Linked DNA regions of Kluyveromyces lactis. The main gene of each other region encodes a partner of the protein of the gene in region 4 in a complex. Links are inferred from orthologs where the notes say so. Each region holds a gene or a part of one and is shown on either strand. Other genes may lie near its edges.

What was found.
Region 1: MRPL28 (region 4) and MRPL4 share a complex: the UniProt entries of both Saccharomyces cerevisiae proteins name them as parts of the mitochondrial large ribosomal subunit. The link is inferred for Kluyveromyces lactis from reciprocal best matches to the Saccharomyces cerevisiae genes MRPL28 and MRPL4.
Region 2: MRPL28 (region 4) and MRPL50 share a complex: the UniProt entries of both Saccharomyces cerevisiae proteins name them as parts of the mitochondrial large ribosomal subunit. The link is inferred for Kluyveromyces lactis from reciprocal best matches to the Saccharomyces cerevisiae genes MRPL28 and MRPL50.
Region 3: MRPL28 (region 4) and MRP35 share a complex: the UniProt entries of both Saccharomyces cerevisiae proteins name them as parts of the mitochondrial large ribosomal subunit. The link is inferred for Kluyveromyces lactis from reciprocal best matches to the Saccharomyces cerevisiae genes MRPL28 and MRP35.
Region 5: MRPL28 (region 4) and MRPL24 share a complex: the UniProt entries of both Saccharomyces cerevisiae proteins name them as parts of the mitochondrial large ribosomal subunit. The link is inferred for Kluyveromyces lactis from reciprocal best matches to the Saccharomyces cerevisiae genes MRPL28 and MRPL24.
Region 6: MRPL28 (region 4) and MRPL32 share a complex: the UniProt entries of both Saccharomyces cerevisiae proteins name them as parts of the mitochondrial large ribosomal subunit. The link is inferred for Kluyveromyces lactis from reciprocal best matches to the Saccharomyces cerevisiae genes MRPL28 and MRPL32.
Region 7: MRPL28 (region 4) and MRPL51 share a complex: the UniProt entries of both Saccharomyces cerevisiae proteins name them as parts of the mitochondrial large ribosomal subunit. The link is inferred for Kluyveromyces lactis from reciprocal best matches to the Saccharomyces cerevisiae genes MRPL28 and MRPL51.

Annotation. Positions count from the first base shown.
Region 1 is NC_006038.1:467,767-470,710, forward strand, and holds MRPL4 (mitochondrial 54S ribosomal protein uL29m), read right to left. Parts: upstream 1,500-2,944; coding exon 501-1,499; downstream 1-500. Other genes in the region: 8-oxoguanine glycosylase OGG1, read left to right, coding at 1-309; U4/U6-U5 snRNP complex subunit LSM3, read left to right, coding at 2,163-2,414; NTE1 (lysophospholipase), read right to left, coding at 2,699-2,944. UniProt on the Saccharomyces cerevisiae protein: Component of the mitochondrial ribosome (mitoribosome), a dedicated translation machinery responsible for the synthesis of mitochondrial genome-encoded proteins, including at least some of the essential transmembrane subunits of the mitochondrial respiratory chain.
Region 2 is NC_006039.1:791,672-793,983, forward strand, and holds MRPL50 (mitochondrial 54S ribosomal protein bL9m MRPL50), read left to right. Parts: upstream 1-1,407; coding exon 1,408-1,812; downstream 1,813-2,312. Other genes in the region: RSC6 (Rsc6p), read right to left, coding at 1-858; KLLA0_C09086g (uncharacterized protein), read right to left, coding at 2,198-2,312. UniProt on the Saccharomyces cerevisiae protein: Component of the mitochondrial ribosome (mitoribosome), a dedicated translation machinery responsible for the synthesis of mitochondrial genome-encoded proteins, including at least some of the essential transmembrane subunits of the mitochondrial respiratory chain.
Region 3 is NC_006042.1:2,241,652-2,243,726, reverse strand, and holds MRP35 (mitochondrial 54S ribosomal protein bL35m), read right to left. Parts: upstream 789-2,075; coding exon 501-788; downstream 1-500. Other genes in the region: NMA111 (Nma111p), read left to right, coding at 1-278; protein channel TOM70, read right to left, coding at 1,459-2,075. UniProt on the Saccharomyces cerevisiae protein: Component of the mitochondrial ribosome (mitoribosome), a dedicated translation machinery responsible for the synthesis of mitochondrial genome-encoded proteins, including at least some of the essential transmembrane subunits of the mitochondrial respiratory chain.
Region 4 is NC_006039.1:1,299,898-1,302,140, reverse strand, and holds MRPL28 (mitochondrial 54S ribosomal protein mL40), read right to left. Parts: upstream 945-2,243; coding exon 501-944; downstream 1-500. Other genes in the region: KLLA0_C14949g (MFS transporter), read left to right, coding at 1-54; KLLA0_C14916g (uncharacterized protein), read left to right, coding at 1,561-1,821; LFT1 (Lft1p), read right to left, coding at 1,865-2,243. UniProt on the Saccharomyces cerevisiae protein: Component of the mitochondrial ribosome (mitoribosome), a dedicated translation machinery responsible for the synthesis of mitochondrial genome-encoded proteins, including at least some of the essential transmembrane subunits of the mitochondrial respiratory chain.
Region 5 is NC_006040.1:1,064,461-1,067,062, reverse strand, and holds MRPL24 (mitochondrial 54S ribosomal protein bL28m), read left to right. Parts: upstream 1-1,334; coding exon 1,335-2,102; downstream 2,103-2,602. Other genes in the region: KLLA0_D12584g (uncharacterized protein), read left to right, coding at 1-1,031. UniProt on the Saccharomyces cerevisiae protein: Component of the mitochondrial ribosome (mitoribosome), a dedicated translation machinery responsible for the synthesis of mitochondrial genome-encoded proteins, including at least some of the essential transmembrane subunits of the mitochondrial respiratory chain.
Region 6 is NC_006042.1:1,182,630-1,184,913, reverse strand, and holds MRPL32 (mitochondrial 54S ribosomal protein bL32m), read left to right. Parts: upstream 1-1,226; coding exon 1,227-1,784; downstream 1,785-2,284. Other genes in the region: septin CDC10, read right to left, coding at 1-683; KLLA0_F12804g (uncharacterized protein), read left to right, coding at 2,263-2,284. UniProt on the Saccharomyces cerevisiae protein: Component of the mitochondrial ribosome (mitoribosome), a dedicated translation machinery responsible for the synthesis of mitochondrial genome-encoded proteins, including at least some of the essential transmembrane subunits of the mitochondrial respiratory chain.
Region 7 is NC_006042.1:776,644-778,799, forward strand, and holds MRPL51 (mitochondrial 54S ribosomal protein mL43), read right to left. Parts: upstream 930-2,156; coding exon 501-929; downstream 1-500. Other genes in the region: GCD2 (translation initiation factor eIF2B subunit delta), read left to right, coding at 1-290. UniProt on the Saccharomyces cerevisiae protein: Component of the mitochondrial ribosome (mitoribosome), a dedicated translation machinery responsible for the synthesis of mitochondrial genome-encoded proteins, including at least some of the essential transmembrane subunits of the mitochondrial respiratory chain.

The DNA.
Region 1 (2,944 bases), on a different chromosome or scaffold from region 4:
ATGTACAGAAGGAAGCTCCAGGATCTATGGGGCCCATACGCGGGCTGGGCACAATGTGTCCTTTTCGCACAAGAAATTGGGAAAACAGTTGGAGCAAGTACAAGTGATAAATTAGTGAAAAGACGCAAACTGGACTATGATGCATCTGGAGAAGAAGAAGACTTTAAAGTTGTAGTCAAAGACGAGGCAGAGATCAGTACGGAAGATTCTTTGTCCACGGTTAAAATTGAAGATACTATGTCGATAGAGTATAGCATTACTGGGAGGCCGCTACGGAGAGCGGTAAAAAAGGCTAAAAAGGTCTATTGAATTAATTGACTGCAAATAAAACTCTCTTTAAATACAATTCTTATTCGTCAAATTAAAGTGTTGTCGAAGGAAATTTTTTGTTTTATATTCCGTTATTTAAGTTGGTGTATACATATGTACAGGAAGGCTGGGTTCATCCAAATGGACGGTTACACTTATCTCTTTATACAATCACTTCGATGGCATTAATATCATAGTGTATTAGCGTTGTTTTTTGCATCTTCTTCTTGCAGCTGTATTTCCGCTTCTGTTACCTTTGCCATTTGAGCCTCAGCTAATTTATTAACATATTCTTGAACAGTTTCCAATTCATCGTATCTAGACACAGAGGAGCCATTTTCTCTCAACTCCCTTACCGCTTGACATGCTTCTGCGATGGCAGATTCTGTGTTTTCTGATGTATACAGAAGGAAGGATTCACCTGCATCCACAATTGTATTGTTAGATTCTTCTAAAAAGTTCTTGATGTCCTCGTTTCTTAGTGCAAATTTCTTTAACTTCAATGTTGCAACCGCTTTCAATCCATCCACAAATGTTCTGTCCACTTTGTTCTCATCGATGTACTCAGAGATACCGTATATGGCATATTGAAAACGTTGCAATGATTCGAAAATCTCTTCATCTTCGTTAGCAGGAGCTTCTAAAAAGTCTTTTTCGAATGATTCGATAAATACTTGTTTTTCAACAGCAAATTTCTCATTCGCTATCTTGAATGCCCAGTCTCGTTCGCTAAGGACGTGTCTTATTCTCCACATTGTCGTTCTGATCTTTTCGGAGATATCTTGGTATGCTTCGGTTTGTGCTTCAAAGTTGAACTGCACCAAATGGTTTTCACGTGCTAATACGTTACGTTCTTTCAAACATGTGTACCACAAAGAATGTAGGTCAGTGAACGATTTTCTTCTCAACTCTGGGATGGTCCAAGGTCTCGAAAGCGTATCCAATTCCTCGGGCGTTCTTAAAAACTTCTTCTCGGAGAAAAATTGCCATAAAGGATGATCATCTGGACATGTCAAATTGGCAGCAGCCGGTGGAATAGGAGCTGTAATCTTTAAATCATTATCGTGATGGGTCCTCTGGGTAGGTAGTCTAACGTTCTCTCTCTTGGCTGGTTTGGGTTTAGGTTTGGTGAATCTCGTCCTGGCACATGCTCTAGAAGTAGTATGCAATCCCCTTCTTGCTGGGAACATTTTGAAAATATAATATCCCTGCTATAATAAACACGTCCTGCAGCTACTCAATCGAGGTAGAACACTTCAATATCACGACAGCTAGCTGATTCATCCATGTTTTAATTCCTATTCAGCTTTCCTCTGCTTAAATGTTATAAAAATTTTTTGATCGAACAGAGTTGATTCGGGGTCCGTCATTAGGTTGCCCGGCCTTTGTCATGTGATAGTCACGTGAATATCAGGTTGACTATTGACTCTCTTAGTGAAGCATAGTGCAATAAGATGATAAACTAGCATCGCATATCCTGGCCATCTTTCAACAGGTACAGTATCATTCAAAGATGGTTGGAAACGTGTACCTTCCCTGGTTTAACTGATTATTCTATAATTCAGAGCTTTCCATTGACATCGAAATTCAAAACTTCAACACTTTTTATCAATTAGTACGTTAACAATAATTTGGTGATTAAGTATGTTATGGAGGATGCTCTGGAGTGTGAATGGAACTAAGCCTTGGATTGTATATCGACTACTCTACTATACCTGGTACTCCATTTGATAAACTGACAAAGGAAACCATTCAACCTAACTGCTGTACCCTCTATCAATTGCATTATTGGTTATTGTAAGAATACGACTGCATCATAAATATAGAAGACATACACACTTTACGCCGCAAAGATGTCTGATACGCCTCTGGATCTATTAAAATTGAATTTAGACGAGCGAGTATATGTGAAATTACGTGATGCTCGTGAATTAGTGGGTACTCTTCAGGCTTTCGACTCACATTGTAATATTGTTCTTTCAGATTCAAAGGAAACCATTTATGAACTAGTAGAAGGAGATTTGAAAACGACCGAAAGGTTTTCGGAAATGATTTTCGTTAGAGGTGGTCTTGTGGCCCTTGTAACAACACCAGAAGATGAATGATTGTCCAGTATCCTTCTTCTTCTTTCAACATTTAATAAGGGAAATTCGAAGAAATAACTTCATGTCCTCATTATTGATTGAGTGCGATGTGAGCTATCCTCATTTTGCCCCCAATATACATCCATCGCTAACATTTGTATAGTATATATTTAGTTTATTCAATTTTTTTTTAACTTTCGGTTTACAGTTACTTAGAAACTATAACGTTAATTGCCATGGCTTTGATTTTATGTCCTGCATGTCCACCATCGACAAATGTGGGTAGCGTTTCCTGTTAATTCGTTTTATATACTGTTCCGTCTTTGTAACATGTTTTCTTTGTCGGCATAAGCAGAAGTTGTGGTACCCGCAATTGGCGGTAATTCGTTTTTCTCTTGCAGATGTTGTAAAAAGTCATGACCGTACGCGTAGCCTACTTGGTATATTTCTTCAAACTTACCAAAATCCAAAGTCGCATAGTTCTCAATAGGAGGCCTGATGTACACCACACCTGGTGTACTTTTAGCCCTTTCTAAGGCATTGACAGAAGC
Region 2 (2,312 bases), about 510 kb from region 4:
CACTAGCTTTGCTAATGAAGCATCCATTTTCACTAAGACTTTCTCACCGTTTGTGGAATCCTTTGGTCCCGCCTCGTCGTTATTCGTCAATAGACTGTTTAATAGAATATATTTGTAAAGAGAGTATATCGCCTCATGAAAGGTTCCTTTTGAGAATCCGACAATACATGATAGTTCTGGTGAATACTGTAAGAACTCCCCTGTATACCCTTTTGGTTGGATAGTGATGGTACAGTTAACGTTTTCAGTACCCTTACGTGAAACATCAACACCGTCAAACTCTACAGGAGTATTAGGATCCACATGCCATTCAAAAACGGTTTGCTCATTTTTTGGCTTTTTAGCACTAGGTTCCTGTGTCCCTTCTAATAAGGGGTCTCCCATTTCTTGATCAGTTTCATCATCTTGATCTTCCTCTACAGGTTTGAAATCTATCGCGACGCTTTCTATAAAGGAGGAAAATTTAGGCCTATTTGGATCGTCTGCCTTCCCATTATCTAACAGTCTACCTTCAATACGCAATGTCCATGATGCTTGATCAAGTTCCATGGTCTCATCGTTCGTCTGCCATGGCTGGTTCTCAGAAATATTAGAAATGAAAACACGAACAAACTGATTATTCGCAGGATCTGTGTATTTGGAATGAGTCCATTGAGTAATATTCTGATGCAAATCAATTTTTTTACGACTTAAATATATGTCAATTCTCTTCTCAGCCTCTTGTAACTTACTTAGCCCATCCAATTCTGGTATTAATTTCTTCAAATACGGTTGGATATACATGTCAGTTGGTTGTGCAACTGGCACAGTTTGTGCCTGTTGATGTTCAACCGTTGCTCCACTCTGTGCCGCAGACATTTGATTTTGATTTTTCTTTAATCTCAATCTAGCGGTAGCTTAGTTTATTCTACTAGGAGGTAAGCAGATGATATGTCTCATCTATACAAGTTGATGCATGTAAGTTAATGTACCAAAAGCTAGTGAATGCTTTGTTTAGGTTGATTGAATAATTCGAAAAACTGATGTTGAAACAACGAAAGCACCCATACACCCATACACCCATACAATACTTTATAGCGAATCGTATTAGGTTAGATTGTATCCATTACGCAGTTCATTTATAAATAAGTATTTCAAAGGTTACAAACACGGAGTAGTACAGTATGAACGGCTGTCACTCGCTAAACCAATCTTTTATCTTCTTTTTATGTACACATCTTTTAACTAGGCTGGCACTTAGATATGATTTTAAAGCTTCAAAAATTTTTGATAGTTTAAAATCACATTAGAACAAGATCAATCTAAAAGTTAACCATAAGCAGGGAATTAAAAATAGCGTCAATTGTGTTTGAAGTGCTATTCCAATAACTGCACACGCTCCAAGGGCTTTTAAAATATTACAGCAAAATGTTCAGACCGACATCATCGTGTCTTTCTGCCTTAACCAAACGTACAAAGAGAGTACAGGTACAGTTATTAAAAGATTTTCCTCAGTTCCAATTTCATACCGGCGAGGTGGTAAATGTCAAGCCCTCACTAATGAGAAACTTCTTGCACAACTATAATGGAGCCCGCTACATTCTAAAGGAAACTGATATTGACCAAGCCCTGTTGACCTCAGCTAAGAGATCACGTGCATCAGCAGCAGCTTTATTAAAAACAACCGAATCAACGGTGAAGAAGACTGAACAGAACGTAAAGAAGGCTAAGCAGGTATCCAAGGAAGAAAATAAGACACCAGAAACTCCTAAGTCAGCATTAAACGAAGAAATAACTATCGAGAATGTGAAGATTCCAGGATTAGACTTATGATAGTAAATGTTTTATCTTTTTTTTCCTCCTTACGCGGATCATTTGAGATACCAATGTCTTACAAAATAATAATGATCATGGATGTTGTTCGTGACGTCTCGTCCCCATTGCGGTTCAGAGGCACATTCATACACTTGTACATAAATTACATTAAAATAACTTGCGAAAACAATAAAGAAAGTTCGTTGCATCCAATCGCTACCAGTTGAAGTAATAACGTGGACAGTAGATCTGGATGATTCATACTAAATGGGGATTGACAAGAGAGTTATTACTACAGGAACGCTCATCACCTGGACGAGCATATTTCTCTTGATCAGCTTTAACTGTTGCTTTGGAAATAAAGAGACGAGAATGAGAAACAACCCCAATAGTGATGAACTTTCTAAATTCTCATTTTCTGTTTGTTTCTCAGACGTCTTTCTCTCTTTTCTCTTTTCTTCAACTCCATTTTATCAAGTTCTTGGTCGGTCAACTTGTCTCTCATATCCTTTCTCTTT
Region 3 (2,075 bases), on a different chromosome or scaffold from region 4:
TTTCTCGTGGTACATCTTCTTTGGCGTTACAGTACGGAATAGAAGTGACCAACTTTATCACACACGTCAATGACCAATCAACACCTGATTTGGATACATTCTTGAAGGTTGTTAAAGAAATCCCAGATAATACATACTGCAAGTTACGCTTAATGACATTTGACGATGTTCCGTTTGCCATTTCCTTAAAGACAAACTATCACTACTTCCCAACGGTAGAATTAAGAAAGAATCCAAAAACAGGTAGTTGGATCGAGAATGATATCTCGGAGACTTAATTTGACTATATATATGATTAATCATTTTTTACCGTTGTTTGCAAATTGTATATAGGTATTTATTAATGATAATTATCCATTATAGTAACCCGCTGATTTTTCATGACATGCTTTACTGAAAATCATGGTAAGAAATGGTGTGTCATTCATTATGGGGATGCCATTGTTATATGTACAGGATTGAAATCGAAACGATATCTTATTTTAATTGCCTTTCATCTCTTAATGGTATGGAAGCAATCTCTTTAAACGATGCATATGTGTGGAGTCTGCTAATGACCTGCCAGATAATGATTTAAGGGAGTTCCTACTCCATCCAGCATTACCATGATTTCTTCCAGCCTTGCCCCTCTTGAAGCTATTGGCTGTTTTTCTCCATCTTTTTGCGGCACCTTTGTGTGTTTTCATCAAGTTTCTGGTGAGGATGAGCGATGAAACATTAGTTTTAGATCCCAGAAGTCCAGTTCTAGCGGAAAAGTTCATCATCGAACCAAAGATAGAAGATAGCATATTTGAAGTAGTTCGCTGGTGGGGTAAATCCTGCTATAGTCCGTTAACAATGAAGTACTTGAATTGTAGCTCACTTTCACTCAGTACCTTGCCATAATCTCACAAGAAACTTTTATTACATACACTTCTTTCAGAGAAAACAAAAAATGTCATTTATGTTGAAACGTATGTAGTGATATACTATCGAAGTGTTTAAAATTACAATTTGATTAAATTGTGAGATGGGGGAGATACATGTATATACAGAAAGACGTATTTGTTTCTAGCAAAATGGTAGAAGATGATGTTTTTGAACCAGGGGTATTTAGGAGCACATATTTTGCAATGAGCTGTTATTGAAAAGCGTTGTTCTCGTATTCTTGTTCTTCTGTGTTTCTTTTTGTCTTGTTTTTGTGAAGAATTGATAACTATTTCTTATTCTTCACGTTGTAATGTTGAGATCTTGTCGTTTACGATTAACACAGTTCACGCTGCTTACGAGTCATAAATAACTTGGGTGAAATGCTACAACTTTTTGTTTGTAAAATCATAACTTTCTTGGTAATTCATTCGTTTAGATGTTGCATGGTATGTTGCCATTATGGTCATTAAGGTGAGACAAAAACAATGAGCTATTGTAGCTTTACTCATATTGAAATGAATTAAATTCATTCGTGAATATCATGCTAATTTACGCGAGACCTTGAGCACGGTAGGCTGCAATAGCTTCGTCGATCTTACCCTTAATGAATGGATCAGCTCTGATCTTTTTCTGGACCTTGGTAGCCTCAGCGAAAGTAGTAGCTTGTAGTTTTTCATCGAAAGATCTTGAGAGATCGGCAGCATCTTCGAACAATTGAATGGCATCATCAATTTCTTCTTGTTGCAATTTTAGTTGAGCAAGACCGATCTTGGCTTGTTCGGATCTTGGATCGATCTTACAAGCTTCTTCAAATAATTCGGAAGCTTCAACGAAGTTTTCAACGGTTGGGTTTCTAATCAAAGCAGTGGCCTTACCAATCATTGGAGCAATACCGACGTGAATACCTGGTAAAGCATCTTCCAACTTGATGGCAATATCGTATTGCTTGATGGCAGCATCTAGAGAGTTCTTAGCAGCCAAAATTTCGGCATAAAAGTTTGGAACTTCTGGAGCAGTTGGGAACTTTCTTCTGGCTTCGCTGAACAAAGTTTCACAATCATCAAATCTATCGTCACGGAAAGCCAAGCAAGCACATTGGATGTAGGCAAAAATGTTTTCTGGATTTAATTCCTTAGCCTTATCGAAATCGGCACCAGCTTCTTTGA
Region 4 (2,243 bases):
CCAAACGTTGAAAACACCGCAGGCAAATCATTCTGGAGAAAATATGTATGGTGATGCCATTTTGCTAACCATGTACCCATTCAAGCTAAAATCATCTAAGTCAAATGAATAATGCTATTTGTAAACAAGACCATTATTCATATTCGAACCGATGTATACACAGAAGCCATGTTTTTTTCTGAAGTACACTGTCACTTTGGAATACGGTTAAAGTCCCCTTTGAAAAGCTTAAGAGCTTCATTCTGCCGATAATCATTTCGTAGAATTGCTTATTTACATGGTTTGTTTACATTTCTTCTATCTAACTCTTTCATTACAATATATAATGCAACATCTCCATTATATTTTATTGCGTGGCACTTGGTCTTGCCTGTAGATCACACAAGTTGTTTCTCGAGCAACCCACGTTTGGTGTACCGATAAAAAAGTGTCCTAGAAGAGATAATGTGAAATATGATTCGTGCTCTACCTTTAATGCATTATGCCTGGAAACGAACTATTCAATCCTTTTTCTTGTAATCATAATACCACACATTGTTCGGTGGGTATTGAGTAGGTACCCTTAGTTCCAATGGGACCCTCTTACCTGATTCTTCAGCGTTAGCCATTTCATATAGTTCGGGATCTACCTGTTCTAATAAGTTCATAGCTTCTTCTATATTCTCGTACTGTAGTTTCAAGAGATTTGTTCTCTTTTCCCTCAGTTCCCTTTGATATTGCGCCCAACAAGCTTGAATCATATCATGTTTGATCAAATCTTCACGGGAAAGTTTTAAAAGTTTTGGCTGTTTCCTGCTAGCAGACATAACAGAGAGTTGTGTAATGATTCTTTGCGCTTGAGGATTTAATCCACCTTTCGATTTAGTTCTTTTCCCACGAACAAAGTTCAAAGAGGGTTGCACTACCTTCAAGGCATTCTTACGAGATGCTGCACTCGCTAGCATAGTGGATGGAGTATTAATGATCCTTTCGGTTGGCTGAGAAGCTGTATGCTATCACACGAACTTATCGCAGAAAATCAACCCGTATTTAATCGTCATTCAATTTATTGTCAAAGCTAACAATAAACTCACTGAAACCTCATCGAATCTTCAAAATTTTTCAAAGTTACTGATGTTGAACAAACAAATGTCTGTTACCCGGAACTGTTGATTATTTTGACTGCTAAACTCTTTTGCACGTGACCTAAAAAGGTTCAAGTACACAGGGAGTAGCTGCCCTTCGACTAGCTGGTAGGTGATTAACTTCCGACTTGTCTTGATTACCTGCTATGCCACCTCACATAATGAAAAATTGAATCTAACAAAGCCTGGAATACCTTAGATATCATATTTTCCTTCTTTTCATCTTTACATCTGATATATGATGATATAGCATTACGCCATTTGTAAGGTTTTAAAGGGAAATCTGCACATCAAGGACCCTGTTTGAACCATTTATAATGTATAGAAACGACAATATATTTTAATGGCAATCAGAACCGACGCTGTTCGAAGAGTTGAGATTTCCCTTGGACCAACATTCGGAGTCGTAAACAGTTAAACTCAAACTTACGGAAAGATGTCTCAAGACGATCAGAAGCAATATCCTGATGAGAAGAAAAGTTCCTTGCCAGAGGATCCTCCAACGTATACAGATGTTCTTAAGGAAGACAAGGCACTACGAGAGGAGCAAGCAGAAAATTGCAATCAAGTGGGTCATATGAGCACCAACCACATACCAGAGGCAATCGTGGCTACCCCGGTACGCAGAGAACAAGTTATAATAACGCCGGCTCAAAAAAAGGTATATAGTTACAGTGCTAATGTAGATGATATTTAAATAGGATGAGAAATAAATATATTAGGCCTAAAAAAAGTACGTATCACAGTATTAACGGTGGCGTTGAACACTTTAAGTGTTCCTCGTCATCGTCGAGGTCTATTAGCGACAGGTGATGGTTAATGTTGTCCGATACTGCGTTATTGGTAATAGTCTGAGTGTTATCGGGATCAGAGAAAGGAATCGATAACGTGGGGGACCGCGAATTCGGTGATACAACACCAATTTTATAATCTTCAAGCTCTGGCGACCTAGCTTTGTCTCTGTGGTTTCCTTCGTCAGTATGATGGGTAAGGGATCCCCAAAACCAAAATTTGCTCTTCCTTTTCTCCTTTGGTCGCTTCTTCTTCTCTCTCGGTAAAGCTTTGGCGACAAATGGTTCCAAGGGATCCATTTTAAATTTCGGCTTGACATCATCACCA
Region 5 (2,602 bases), on a different chromosome or scaffold from region 4:
GTTACACACAGGGCATGGGTTTTATTGCTACTACTTTAATATTGAACTGTGAAGAAGAATGGCAAGCGTTTTCTCTATTAACGAAACTCATGAAAGTATACGGATTAAGGGATTTATTCTTGCCGGGAATGCCTGGCCTGATGTTGAAATTGTACCAATTTGATACACTTTTGGAGGAAAATGATCCTCAATTGTATAACCATTTGATCAGGCAGGGAATAAGATCTACAATGTTTGCAACTCAATGGTTCCTGACGATGTTCGCATACAAATTTCCCCTTGAATTCGTTCTCAGAATCATGGATATTGTCATACTTGAAGGTATCGAATCGATGCTAAAATTCAGTTTAACGTTGATGTTAAAGAACAGTCGTAATTTGATCATTCTCAGTTTCGATTCTCTCTTAGACTTCTTGAAGGAGGACCTTTTCCAACACTATGCTTCTAAGGAGAACCCAGAAGAGTACGATATTGATAGATTCATCTCTGATTCGTTGGAAATCAAATTAACTCCATTGCAATTGGAGCGTTACGTGAAAGAGTACGATGAGATTCACAAGTTGGAAACGGAAAAGGAACAACAATATGAGGAACAAAGAATTAAAAACAGACAGCTTCAAAAAGAGTTGAAGAAATTAGAAAATGACTATTCGCTATTAAACAGAGAGCATATCACTATTGCCAATGAACTAATTGAAAACAGACTTCGGATGGAAACTCTTCAGGACGAAAATAAGGATTTATTACTAGAGATAGAAGATTTGAAGAAACAACTGGAACGTGAACTTTATAAACAAACGTTACCTAATCCAGATGCTGAAATTCCCACAGATTTGAAAGCAGATTTGAATAGAACAATGGAAAGAAATCTGGAAGTTATGGACGAAAATCAAGAGCTCAGAACACGCCTTGACGAATTAGAAAAAGAGAACTATGAATTACGCACAGGTAAGACTTGGACCAAAGATGCCACCAATCCAAAGGGAAATCGTCTCGGGAATTGGGCTTTCAAATCACCATGGAAGAAATGAGAAAAATTGCAACAGGGACCTCATTCACAATATCCATCCAGCCGTACATATATACATACCCTTCATACATACATGATACCGCCAACCATTACGCAGAGGTGTATTCTAATCATAAATTTCCTTATGCTTTACCATTCTCGCTGTATACGGTTTTGATCTTTCCAAAGCTTATTCAAAATTTTAGAAAATAACGACTTGATACATGCACTAAGGTGAAGAGAAGGAGCTTGAACCTAGTATGAAGCTAGTTGGTCTAAGAGTCTCTGTACGTTCACCAATAAGCACGGAGATCGTTCATCTGGAATGAAGTTTTTTCCAAGTTCCCAAAGAGGGTTTTCCACTCTTAGCCACCTCCTCAGAGAATGGAGATTAGTTGAAAGCAGACAGATCCCAACTCCAAAGACGTATCAAGTCGGCGACAGCAAGCCATTATATATCCCAAAGGAGAAGAAGGAATTCCCTGATTATCCATACGGAGAATCTCCAATTTACAAACAGAGTAACAAAGGTTTATACGGTGCGTCTTTCATCCAATTCGGTAATAACATCGCTGAATCGAAGACAAAAACCAGGAGATCATGGAGTCCAAACGTTATTAGAAAAGGACTATGGAGTGAGACTTTGAACAGAAAGATTAGTATTAAGATGACAGCAAAAGTTTTAAGAACAATTACCAAGGAAGGTGGTATTGACAACTATTTGACTAAGGAAAAGGCCGCCAGAATTAAGGAATTGGGACCTACTGGTTGGAAACTCCGTTACAGACTACTGAACTCTAAGGAAAAAGCTGCCAATCCTGTACATAAGGACGCTGAGACTGTCACAGATGCCAATGGCAACGAAGTCACCGTATTGTACAAAGTTGTTGTCGATGGAGAACCATTGAGAATTACTGCTGGTAAGCGTAAACTATTGCATACCCTTTTCCCATTGGAAAAGATGGAACACAAAGCGGATGGATTAGATCTATCGTTTAAGAAATTCATGGACCAATTTGCTACCCGTGACGTGGCAGACATCGTATCGAGATTAAAGGCCTTGAATTTCGATTTGAGTACGATTACTGTATGAGAACTGAATAGATTTTGTTCCAATTTTATATAAAAGCTTGTAAACAATGAGAAAATAGATTCTACCATGAGCTGGGAGGATGCTTGAAGACTATGCGTTAGTTGTCCGACTGACCGATGCAAGAGTTAATCACCCACTGTTCAATTGAATTGAACGGTGTGCATGTGACTGTTGCACCCAGACATTATTGACTGTTGCACCCATACATACTCAATTTCTGCTGAAAATGAGAATGTTTCCATACTAGGAAATTATTTTCTCATGTCCACCAAATCCGCTGAGCTGACGGTAGGATGCACAGACACATCCCATCCGTCTTCGTTGCTTGCTTCGAGCTGGGCAGGGCCTGTCCCGTTTCCTCCCTAAGCTGGACTGCCCGGTCTGGGCCTGGACATTCCACCAAACTGGCCGCTGGACTGCCCACTTAGACCCCAGGCTAGGCATCTCATGGTTTCCATTCACTTCCCATACCCTCCCAAACACTCCTCCGGGTAATCATC
Region 6 (2,284 bases), on a different chromosome or scaffold from region 4:
AGATCGTCTAAATCATATGGATAGATTCTGAAATTGTACTTTTTAAATTCTTCTTGTAAGATGTTTCTGAAGTTAGCTCTCTCATTCAACGTCAAAGTATCAGCTTTAGCGATCACCGGGATAACATTAGCGATTTCTGTCAATCTCTTCAAAGCAGCAACGTCAAGTTCTGTTAGACCCTTACCGTTAGGTTGGATGAAATATAACACTGCATGTACTCGAGTGTCTACAATGTGTCTTTCACGTTGAGCAGTCAACTCTTTACGTAAATATTGAGAGTGTTGCTCCTTGATGTACTTGACAATAGGTTCCCAAACTTTGTCGTTATTTATCTGGTCACCAAAACCTGGAGTGTCAATCACGTTCACGTTCAAACGTACACGGTCTTCCAATAAAGAATGTGTTGAAACCTTGATCTCGGTGGTCTTACTAATTGGTTCCTGAGTGATGTCCTTACCAGTAGAAGAATCAACCAAGTGAGATGCAAACAAAGTGTTGATCAAAGTACTCTTACCCAGACCAGAATGTCCAACGACCATAACGTTGAATTGAAATCCTCTCTTCAACAAACGATGTTCAATCTGTGAAGTAATCGAATCAAACCCAACATAAGAAGATGGATTTACCAAAGCCAACCCATCAGAAGAAGAAGTCATACCAGCTGCAGCAGTACTAGATGCCATTGTTTTTGTTTATGCGTGTATTTTACCTTTAATAATTCCTTTCGCGTAGTAGAGATGTATATAAGTCAAATCCAAATGATCAAAGCTTTACGTGTTTTAGTGTTTGGAAGTTAAAATAATGAAAAACCTCTAAGTTATAAAAACAATTAACCGCAATAACAAAAATTCAAACAATGAGTAGCAATTAACCACAGAAACGTCAAAAAAAAGTAATCACAATCTTACTTATTCTAAAGAATACAAGATCTGATTCCTTACTTATATTTTGTTGACACACTTATTTCGTTTCGAGTTCCATTTTTAGTTTTTGTGATTTTTCGTCTTTTTCATCGAAATCGAAAAAGGGACACAGATCATCACCAAATCAGGGTAATGTTGAAAATTCTTTCTTATAATCCAATTCGTCAATACCAATTTGAATTGACGAAGTTCAAACAGAGTTAGACGAGCGACCTAGAGAAACTAGTATCTGTCCCTATCGATTGAACTTATCCTTTCTCCTCTTCATCATAGTATCATACCAGCAGCGAAAATAATTAGAGGATGTCTTTTGGAGCTGTAACGGAATCTTTTAGCAGAGTGTTGCTGGAAACAGCGACATCAATATTGCCTCGTTGGAGCACTCCAGCAGCTGGTACTGCATTGCCACAGAAACTGCTGGAATTGCTTGAAAGAAACCAACGTGAAAAGTCTTCACCTCAAGCGGATTACTTTACGAATAACGGGATCCTTCTAGCTGTGCCCAAGAAGAAAGTGTCGCATCAGAAGAAGAGACAAAAGTTATATGCGCCTGGAGACAAACAGCTGAAAATGATCAACCATTTGAACAAATGCCCTTCATGTGGGCATTACAAGAAGGCACATACGCTATGTATGCATTGTGTGGGTGAAATCCGTCACATCTGGAAGGCTCACACTAACGTTGAACAAGTGGAGCCTATTCAAGAACAAGAGTTGTCTGAATTGGACAAGCGTATCTTGTATCCTGGTAGAAAAGAAACTGAATACACAAAGAAACTGAAGGACAAGGATGCTTATTTGGAGAGACGTATGAAAACTCTGCCAGTGGAGAGATCTGAGAAGAAAGAAGGATCACATTAAACCCTCTTCTCATTGAATCCAGTACAAAATAACACATCGGCGGAAATGACTAAAAAAAAACAACCTTTTATCAAGTTCAATCCCCCCATCACCTTGTATATATATGTCGAATACACGTCCCAGATTTTAGCAGGTTATTTCAGTGTCAGCATTCACCTCCTGTAGTAATAGTTAGATTCATTATCTCATCACAATCAACTCTACATAGAATCAAATCACATACAAAAATTTTCCTAGAGCAGGCTTGATGCCAGGCCTAAAGGCGTGAAAATCAGTCGAGAAAAGATCAGATTGAAAAGAAAAAAATCATGAGTGAAAAGATTTGAAGTAGCGATGAGATGAGATGAGGTGCGAATACACGATACAGGATTAAGCAGGACCTGAAAACTGGCATCAGTTTAACAGTTTGGTCTGATATTGGTTGTTTTGTTTTGTTTCACTTTAAATTGACAATAAGGCTGACAATTTTCCATACAGTATGACAACGACACGACAGTTCA
Region 7 (2,156 bases), on a different chromosome or scaffold from region 4:
AGCAATTTATCAAAGAGCGTGAAGCGCAGCAGAAGGAAGTCGAGAATAGCTCTAAGCAAAATAATAAATCTGGCAGTGCTAATACCAATAATGCTACTGCCGACGAAGGTAAGAATGTCAAGGATAAACCAATACTAGCAGAGTGGGAGAAATCACCTAATTTGCACATCTTCAATATAATGTACGATTTAACACCCCCTGACTACATCAAGAAGATCATTACAGAATTTGGTTCGTTGCCACCATCTTCTGTTCCCGTGGTTCTTAGAGAATACAAAGCATCAGCTTGAATGGAGCCCTTTGCATATATAATATACGATAATATCATATAATATAGTAAATGAAAAATTAGTATAGATCTTCTTTTTTATTAATTGCGTAGTAATATTCAACATCGTAGGTTGTTTACTTAGGTATCGGCTTCATCGAGGATATTGCTATATATATGTACAAGTTAAGCTATGATCTCGATATTACCATTCACAAGTCATTTTTTCGATTCAAACCTTGTGTCTGATGGCTGGGCTTAAATGTAGTGGAGACCAGATACCTCTCACACTATCGTTCAAAGTATCCACATTGTCGTTCTTAGTTCTGTGACGGAGTTGCTCACCAGATGCGTCTCTGATTAGTTTTAACTTATTCTCTACATTATCAATGTTCAGATTTTTTACGCAGATGGCTTTATTACGGCCATTAACATAGTCACCTTTTATAACTGGATGGCCAGACTTTCTTACTATTTCGAACTGTATTGTTGGATATTTTTCAGCCCATTGAATCATTCTGTTAGACGTTAGGAAATCTCTCAAACCCTGTGAGGAACCACCCCAATTACAGTATTGCAAAGTGATCTTTTTACATGGAAGCACAAAAGCGCCAACACCATTTCTTGCGATAGAAGTTTGTCTCAAAACTTTAACAACCATTACTTCAGAGAAATCTTTATGACCGCGGGTACCAGCTCTGATTAGAAAACAAGTTGGGTGTATTTTGAAACTGTGGAGAGATCCTTCAGATGCAGAACATAGATTCACTAATATATCTTTTGAGTTTTATTCGAGTTTTCAGTTCATGATTATTTTTTTCCAATTTCAAAAGACCATCAGTCACGTGAACAAATCTGTATGTATTCGAAGGTAGGAGGACAATTCACCACATGCTCACACAAATGAAAAAGATACTGGTACCAACACTGCTATAAGGTGACGAATGTAAATAATACAGAACCTCTTTCCGACTATATTCTGTTTCTTTCACATTGCTATGTCAACACATCCTCATGAGATGTCATACGTCATGTAAACTTGATGATCTGTCGATGGGTTATGACAATAATGCACTACCAGCGTTTGGTTAAGGGTACTTTTACTGAGCAAATCCATAGAAAGTACGATAGAGGCCCCAGATTCTGATCCAAGATGTCCCAAAGGCTTCATATGAGGTTAATTAAATAAAGGGCCTGATTTGCGTTCACCCATGGAATGTACGGATTGACACCTAGCGTATGTTGGATGCACACTAGTAATTTGTTAAAAAAATTATGCACATGCGTCATTTAAACCAATTAACTGGGCACTCCCTATTAAGTGTGATGTAAGTGTATGACACTTTGTTCAAGAACAGGCAAATGTATTGCCATAATAGTCACCAGTTTATCATTATGGTGCGTATAATGTCCCTATAACTATTGAAAAATTAAAGTTCTATGCGTTTTTTTAAGGATGCGTATAACGATGACCACCCCTAAAAAACATTCACTTGTAAGTAGCGAACAGTCAAGGTTTGTATCCGTTTCTTTAATTTATTACGGCGTTCACTGAAGCGTTTCAACGATGCAGTATAAAATGCGACAAAAAAATTTAGGGAAAAAAGCAGAAGAATACCATACTAATTAACTGGAACTTGGTAATTCATCAACGGTAAATACTTATAAGGTGTTAAGAGTTTATTAGCGTGTCCAAAGTAACATTTGTATTATATAAGAAGGGCAGCAAATGGCACTTTTTTACTACCATTTTCATACCTTTTACTTGCACCTTTATTTCATGTCATTGAAGAATTCTTAATATACATAGTTTTCCTTCAGATTAATTAAAGATTGAACACCCTCGAACAACAACCTAACTTTACTACGCTCATTAAAAACGATTATA